2 linked regions of the Oryctolagus cuniculus genome follow. The protein of the gene in region 2 binds, or shares a complex with, the protein of the main gene of each other region. Links are inferred from orthologs where the notes say so. Each region holds a gene or a part of one and is shown on either strand. Other genes may lie near its edges. The genes, in order: TRIM28 and SMARCAD1.

Evidence for each region.
Region 1: the proteins of SMARCAD1 (region 2) and TRIM28 are in contact, whole or in part, in a crystal structure (PDB 6H3A), measured with the Homo sapiens proteins. The link is inferred for Oryctolagus cuniculus from reciprocal best matches to the Homo sapiens genes SMARCAD1 and TRIM28. Residues at the interface, in NP_001362784.1 of Homo sapiens: Asp156, Leu157, Ala160, Lys161, Gln163, Thr164, Glu167, Leu168, Phe169, Asp188, Gly189, Ala190, Ala192, Leu196, Ala201, Gly202, Gly203; in NP_005753.1 of Homo sapiens: Arg330, Trp333, Thr334, Lys337, Ile338, His341, Leu376, Lys377, Ile379, Val380, Asp381, Val383.

Annotation. Positions count from the first base shown.
Region 1 is NC_091449.1:99,089-102,992, reverse strand, and holds the start of TRIM28 (transcription intermediary factor 1-beta), read left to right. Parts: upstream 1-1,232; 5' UTR 1,233-1,635; coding exon 1,636-1,978; intron 1,979-2,220; coding exon 2,221-2,333; intron 2,334-2,547; coding exon 2,548-2,680; intron 2,681-3,794; coding exon 3,795-3,904. UniProt on the Homo sapiens protein: Nuclear corepressor for KRAB domain-containing zinc finger proteins (KRAB-ZFPs).
Region 2 is NC_091439.1:71,275,921-71,279,824, forward strand, and holds the start of SMARCAD1 (SWI/SNF-related matrix-associated actin-dependent regulator of chromatin subfamily A containing DEAD/H box 1), read right to left. Parts: upstream 2,680-3,904; 5' UTR 2,549-2,679; intron 2,514-2,548; exon of another isoform or gene 2,227-2,513; intron 1,925-2,226; 5' UTR 1,882-1,924; coding exon 1,692-1,881; intron 1-1,691. UniProt on the Homo sapiens protein: DNA helicase that possesses intrinsic ATP-dependent nucleosome-remodeling activity and is both required for DNA repair and heterochromatin organization.

The sequences.
Region 1 (3,904 bases), on a different chromosome or scaffold from region 2:
TGACAGGATTCATCTCAGACAGGATTGATTCCTCCTCCGACAGGACCCTCCTCAGGATTCCTCTGCAGACAGGATTCCTCCCCCCACACCCTGCTTCCCTCCTCAGACAAGACCCCCCCCCCCCAGACAGGATTCACCTGACAGGATTGATTCCTCCTCCGACAGGACCCTCCTCAGGATCCCTCCCCCCACACCCCCCACATCCTCCTCAGACAGGACCCCCCCCCCCCGACAGGATTCACCTGACAGGATTGATTCCTCCTCCGACAGGACCCTCCTCAGAATCCCTGCCCCGATTCTGCTTCCCCCCTCAGACAGGACCCCCCCCTCGATTCTGCTTCCCCCCTCAGACAGGAGCCCCCCCCGATTCTGCTTCCCCCCTCAGACAGGATCCCTCCCCCGATTCTGCTTCCCCCCTCAGACAGGACCCCCCCCTCGATTCTGCTTCCCCCCTCAGACAGGACCCCCCCCCGATTCTGCTTCCCCCCTCAGACAGGAGCCCCCCCCCCCGATTCTGCTTCCCCCCTCAGACAGGATCCCTCCCCCGATTCTGCTTCCCCCCTCAGACAGGAGCCCCCCCCCCCGATTCTGCTTCCCCCCTCAGACAGGATTCCTGCCGGCTCCCCGCCAGTCTCTCGGGATTCTTCCCAGACCCTGTCTCTCTCTGAGGATTCCGCACTTCTCAGATTCAGTTCGCCCACCTGGGACAGCTTGGAGTCAGGGCAGCGGCAGGGCAAAACACGGGAGGCTAAGCGAGATTTTATGGACTGGGGGCTTTGCAGCTTGCAATTTAAGCAAGTTTTGTTTCTCAAGTTTAACAATAAAACGTTAAAAACCCCGGAGTAAGGCTCCGCGCGCAAACCGCAGCTTTCACGTTGCTCAAGTGACGCCCCTTCGCCCCTCCCCGGGCTCAGCCTTCCCCTAGCCTTGGCCCTGCCCACTCCATCACACCCCGTCCCCTCTCCGGGTCAGCGGGTGCCGCAGCGGCCGAAGACAACCGCACGCCGGGAGAGGGGCGGGGACTGAGGCGGAGGTCGCCCCGCACCGGCTCCAGGGCGTTCCGGAGGCGGAGTCCGGGGCGGGGGGCGGGGCGGGTCACGTTTGTAGGACTCGAGGCCACGCCCCACGGCGAATCAGGGCTCGACTGTGACGTCACAGAGCCCTGCCCCTCACCTCACTAGCCGGCCGAGGTGAGGTTGGCGGTGGTGGGAGGGCCCGGCGCGGGCGCGTGCGTACTCCTGGCCTCGCCCGCGGCGACCGGCCAGGTCCCGCCCCCGGGCGTGCGGCTCCGAACGCGCGTGCGCGGCGGCGTCGGCGCCAGTTATTTCTGTCCCGCCCCCAGGCCGCGGCTCTTTCTGAGAGCGGGCGCGCGGGCAGGCGGTTGTTCGCGTGGCGCGTGGCTCGGGTCGCGGCGGCGGCTGGTTTAAGCGCGGGTGCTGCAGCGGGAAGGCGAGGAAGCAGCAGCCCGCAGTGCCTCGGTATCGCCCCGCGCGCGGCGGGCAGCGGCCCAGGAGACGCGTGGCAGCGCTTGGTCTCGCGGCGGCGGCGGCCCAGCCGTTGGCGGCGAGCGCGTCTGCGCCTGCGCGGCGGGCCCCGCGCCCCTCCTCCCCCCTGGGCGCCCCCGGCGGCGTGTGAATGGCGGCTTCGGCGGCGGCGGCGGCGGCGGCCTCGGCGGCGGCGGCCTCGGCCGCGTCGGGCAGCCCAGGCGCGGGCGAGAGTTCGGCGGGCGGCGAGAAGCGCGCCACCGCCTCTTCGGCCTCGGCGTCAGCTTCGGCCTCGGCCTCGTCGCCCGCGGGGGGCGGCGGGGAGGCGCTGGAGCTGCTGGAGCACTGCGGCGTCTGCCGGGAGCGCCTGCGGCCGGAGAGGGAACCACGCCTGCTGCCCTGCCTGCACTCGGCCTGCAGCGCCTGCCTCGGGCCCGCAGCGCCCGGCGCCGCCAACAGCTCTGGAGATGGCGGCGCGGCGGGCGACGGCGCCGGTGAGTACGTAGTGGCTGGGGGCGCCCCTCCCCCTCCCCGCCGCCCTTTATCCCGACTCTGGGAGATGAGGGGGACCGCCAGGCCCCGGATAGGGCTTGAGGAATGGGTTCTGGGCCCTCCGTGGAAGACCCATTGTGGGTTTCGCGGAGGCTTAGCTTGGAGAGAATAACGCACAGGGAGGGAAGGATGAGCGCAACCTGGATGTGGGCCGGCGGTGGTCTCACGTCCCGTCTCCCAACAGTGGTGGACTGTCCTGTGTGCAAGCAGCAGTGCTTCTCCAAAGACATCGTGGAGAATTACTTTATGCGCGATAGCGGCAGCAAGGCTGCCTCCGACGCCCAAGATGCAAACCAGGTACGTCCTGTCCCAGCCCAGTAGGTTTCTGGCCATGGGGAGGGGGCAGAGCCGTGGAGGAGCCTGGACCAACTCTAGGCATTATCCTCGACATTTCTCAAGGCTCTGGGGTGGGTCGAGGTATCCACATGAACGTGGGTTTGTATTTTCTGCGTTGCAAATGCAGATCTGTCAGGCTTTATTGGATTGGTCTGACCCTACCTTTTCCTGACAGTGCTGCACTAGCTGTGAGGATAATGCCCCAGCCACCAGCTATTGCGTGGAGTGTTCCGAGCCACTGTGTGAGACATGCGTGGAGGCACACCAGCGGGTGAAGTACACCAAGGACCACACCGTGCGCTCCACTGGTGCGTGAGGCGGCGCTGCCTTCCTATGTGTGCTTTCAGCTGCTTGTAGTGCTGATTCCGTTTGGTGGGCAGGTCTTAAGATGGTTTTCTGAGTTGCAAACACCAGGACTCCAAAGCATGGATGCTGGGGAGAGTTAAGGCCGCAGGCTGGGAAGTCACATGCTGTAGTTGTACAGAGGGTTTGAGGACTTCTCAGGGAAATGCAGTGGGGGGCATGAGTCCCAGTAGTGGAGACTTCAGGGTACATAGACAGGGAAAGGTAAGGGAGAGGGGTGCTATGAATTTGGGGCTCTGGCACCTGGCTTGAGAGTGTTGGGAAAAGGGAGGCTTCCAGGATAGGGCAGCATGATAAGCTGCTCTGGGCCCTTGGGCTGTCAGTGCTGGTGAGACCTGTAAATGTTCTAGCTGTGAATACGCAGTTTAGACTTCCTGAACGTTTTCTGGGTATCTGTTGGCTTTGATATGGAAAGGAGCTTGAGAATCTCCTGAATCTGGCCAAGGTTTTGGCCCAGAACCCTCCCATGAGGAATATTTTGGTGGTGGTACTAAGGTTCCTTCAAGCCCAGAGAATAGCACTTCAGGAAGATGGGGCGTAGAGGTGCTGGCTTTAGGGCCTGAGAAAGCAGGCGGGATGGGGTGGGGTCTGCAGGGATTCTAGATTCCGGAGGTTCTAGGCTAAGGTTAGGGTGAGGGAATGGGCGCATGTCAGTTGGGGAAGCCAATTTCTGGCTGAGCCGTGTTCCGATGTGAGACATCTTGTCTTTTTGATTAGCTCTGGGGAGGAAAGGGACCCACGTGCCTGTTGAGGTTTATTAGCGACAGGGAGCTGAGTGGGGCGGGTGGTTTGTGTGTGTCGCTGGAACATGCCTGTCTGTAAAAGTTCCCATGAGAGGGAACAGTGGTGGGGATGGAATTCCCACTTTGAAGTTAGAATAACATCTTCATCTTTGCCTGATTGGGGCAGAGGGTTCTGGGAGCAAGGACCCGGGGCTCTCGAGGTGCTACCAGTACATGGCCTAGGGTCCCAGGACAGGTGGGAAGTGAGGCCTCAAGCTCTGACTGCTACCTGAGGTGCTCAAGAGCAAGGTCCAGCCTCCTGGTTTCTACTCTGCAGGGCCGGCTAAGTCTCGGGATGGTGAGCGTACTGTCTATTGCAATGTGCACAAGCATGAGCCCCTCGTGCTGTTCTGTGAGAGCTGCGACACTCTGACTTGTCGGGACTGC
Region 2 (3,904 bases):
TCCAGCCATTGCAGCCAATTGGGGAGTGAACCAGAGGATAGAAGACCTCTCTCTCTCTCTCTCTGCCCCTCCTTCTCTCTCTGTGTAACTCTGACTTTCAAATAAATAAATACATCTTAAAATAAGAGGTAAAATTTTCATTTTACCAATACTGGTAAATGACTAAAACATTCCACTGAAATCCAGTTTTACAAAGTGCTTTCATTTTCAGAGATTAAAAAAACTGTTTCACATTTTAAGTGTCTTTTCTGATGTCCCATGCTGAATTAAGATGAAGCAGAGGCTTGCCTATACCCTTGCCTTCCCTGCTCTGTCACGTCTGTGCTTAAAATCCTTTAATACGCTTCCTATAACATTTTAAAGTTTATTTATTTATTGAAAGGAACAAAGAGAGGTCTACCATCGGCTGGTTCATTTCCCAAATGCTTCCAACCACCAGGGCTGGGCCAGGCAAAAGCCAGGAGCCCAGAACTCCATGTTGGCCTCCACATGGGAGATATTCCTCCATGCGACGCAAGTGGGCCTGCTGTGCCGCCATGACAGCCTGACCTATAGTATTTAAACAAGCTCAGAACTCCTTAGCCAACTCCTTAGTCTTTGGAAATTTGACTTCTAGTCACTTCTTAACCCGATCGACCAAATCATCCCACCAAGAACTTGTAGAGAATCGGCCACAACCGTTTCATTTACATGGCAGAGCAGCCAACAAAAGATATCAATGATGAAGGCACACATTTCCAATTCTACAGGCCACAATAATTTAAAAGCCGCGTGTGAAAAAAAGCCATGCTCACCCAAAAAGGTGTTACTGAAATGAGCATTAAAATAAAACTTCTAATATCCCTTTCACCTTTCATGAGAAACTGCATACTGTAACAATTAAGCATTTGTGGTCAGCAATCAGACTGTTTGGATTTGAGTTCAGATTGTACTAAGTCCTTAATCTCTGGGTGTCATTTCTGCAAATTTTGAATAATAACTAGTAGGTTTATTATGTATATTAAGTGACTCAATATGAAGCATTTAGCACAATGCCTAAAAACACAGCAAGAGCCCCAATATATTCCTCTATTGTTCAAAAAACAGATCAGAATGGAAATTTTAATTTTTGGCTTATTCTCAAATCCCAACTGTCTATGACAATCTGCTGATGAGGTTAAAATGGTTCGTTCACCACGAAGAATATCAAGTATTCACTTGCATTCTTGATACCCCCACGATGTCAGGCGGGGGCAGTATGTGAATGGTATCTGATCAGATCTGGGCAGAGACTGTCTTCAGACGCCTTGATGAACACCTGGCTCGTCATACTGATCACTAGGGTTTTTTGAAGGAATACTAGAATGAATGAAAACCTCTAGCCAAATTAGCAGCCTCAAAGTCAATCACGGGGTTCAATCACCTCCATTCCTCTTCCAGTAGCCACTCTGACCTCAGGATGACCCGAATTTTGATTCCAACTTCCATCACCCGGCCACATTCCAAGAACTCACATCTAAGAGAAGCAACAATGGCTGGGAGCTCAGCTGGAGGCACAGTGACTAAGGCAGTCCCAAAGCTGTGCCTTAAAGGGTAATCAGGAGGACAATGCATCAATATGTGTGACATCAGAGCAACCAGACTGGCTCCTGCCTTTCATCTTTCACCACCTATTCTTTGATGCTACACCAATTTGCAACATTGTAACTCACCTGTTTTCTCAGTTACATCTGAGTCAGGGGTGTTTGCCCTGCTAACTTCCCCTTCAGCATTCTCCTCTTCAGCACTAAGAGAAATTGGTGAAGAAGGGCCAGGCTGGGAGGGCTGTGGGGTTGCTTCGGGCGCTTCCTCAATTTTACTCCTTTTCTCAAAGCGAAAACGGTCCAGGTTGAAAAGATTCATAGTGGCAGGAATCACCCTGAGGGGCCCGGGGACTTGAAATGAACTATCCGCAGGGGGGAAAAAAAAATAAAAAAGAGAAAAAGAGGCCATGAAAACAGAGACTACAAAGCCACAGCAGTTCCTTTCCAAGGCAATACAGGGCCCGCAAACATGCCAGTGGCTCTGGACTATTATGGCTGCGATTCATTGTTAGGCCACAAGGATCGGGAGGTGGACAGTGGTGTCTTTTTAAAATTTCCATTGCCTTGCACGCTCCTCCGTCCGCCCCCCCCACCCCGCCCCTCCCGCCGCTCCCGCCCCTCCTTACTCGAACCACGAGCTGACCCTCGTGCAACCTCCTCTTACCCCGGCACGCGCAGGCACGTTCCCCAGTGTAACCCCCCAGCGGGCCGCGTGCCCGCCCACAGACAGAGATTCCCTGCACTACGGTGCCCCCTGCCTCGAGAAAGGACCTGCCAGGGCCCGCGCCTCCACACTGCGGGGACACAAAGGGGCCAAAGGAGGGGAGCGGCGGAGGCCGTGCTGGCGGGCACCCGCCCGGAAGTTGACGCGGCGCGATCCCAGCTGAGAGGAAGCTGACAGAAGCAAGAACACACGGGGAGGTTCAGCGGAGAGTATGCTGGGGCATCTCTCGCTCCTTCTCTTTCTTCCTTCCATCAGTACTTACGGTCGTGCAGGCTCTGCGCGATGTAACAAAGACTGAAAGAAAAGAAAAAAAAAAAAATTATTCCTGGCGTGAGGCGACGGTAGCCGGGGCGGGACCTTCCAAAACACCCCTGAGAGCCCTACCGAGCGCGTAATGATGACGCAATACGCAGCCGAGGCTTTTTTCTTCCCAAGCGACGCGCCAGCGAAAAATGTCGAGGCGCGCGCCGTTGTCATGGTAATTCGTACCAGCCTCTTCCCCTGCTTTTAAAGGGTGGGATTGTTCTGCCCGTTTGTTTCTACAACTGTTTCTACAAGTTAGGTGCAAAGGTGTTATACAGAACAATAAAAATAACACAGTGAGGATAAATACCCATACTACATCATATATTTTACATATTATAACCTGTTTATAATATAGATAGCGTAAGACTATTGTGCTGTTTTAATAATTCCAATCCTTTTAAGAAACCTATTTGTACAAAATAAGGAAATGGAGGCTTTCCTTCTTAATATAATTTTAAAAGATTGGTTTATTTATTTGGAAAGATTGGTTTATTTATTTGTAAGGCAGAATTACAGAGAAAGAGATCTTCCATCTGTTGGTTCACTCCCTAATGTAATGGCCCCTTGGCCCAGCCGAAGCCGGAAGCCAGGAGCTTCAGCGGGGCTCCAGTGGGTGGAAGGGCACTGGGGCCGTCTTCCGGCCGATTTCCCGGGAGCTTAGCAAGGAGCCGGAGGGAAAGTGGGGGAGCCAGGTCCAGAACCAGAGGTCCTTTGTGCCAGGCAGCAGGTAAGCTACTGCCGCACTGCTCCGCCCCGCAGCTGAGGCTTTCAAATGTGAAGGAATTAGTAAGGGAAAAGAAAGTCCGGTATTGTTGAACTTTAAGCGTTTGACCGTGCTCCCCATTGTTGGCCAGACCGTTCTTACAGTGGAATGTTACAATTCATTTATCTTGCCAGAAACATTACCTTAATATGCACTCCCGTTGTCCAACATTAGGGCCAAGCAGGCAATCTATTTTTTTTAAGGATTAATTTTATTTGAAAGGCAGATTTACAGAGCGACTGGAAGAGGCAGAGGGATTTTGCATAGCTGGTTTACCCCTAAAATGGCGGCGATGGCTGGAGCTGGGACAAAGAGCCAGGAGCTTCTTCAGGCTCCTCCACATGGCTGCAAGGCCCAAATCTCGGCTGCTCCACTTCTGATCCAGCTCTATGCTACGCCTTGGGAAAGCAGTGGAAGATGGCCCAAGTACTTGGGCCCCTGCCACCCACATGGGAGACCCGGAAGAAATCCCGGGCTCCTTGCTTTGGTCTGGCCCAGTCCCAGCAGTTTGCAGCCATTTGAGGAATGAACCAGCGGGTGGAAGATTGC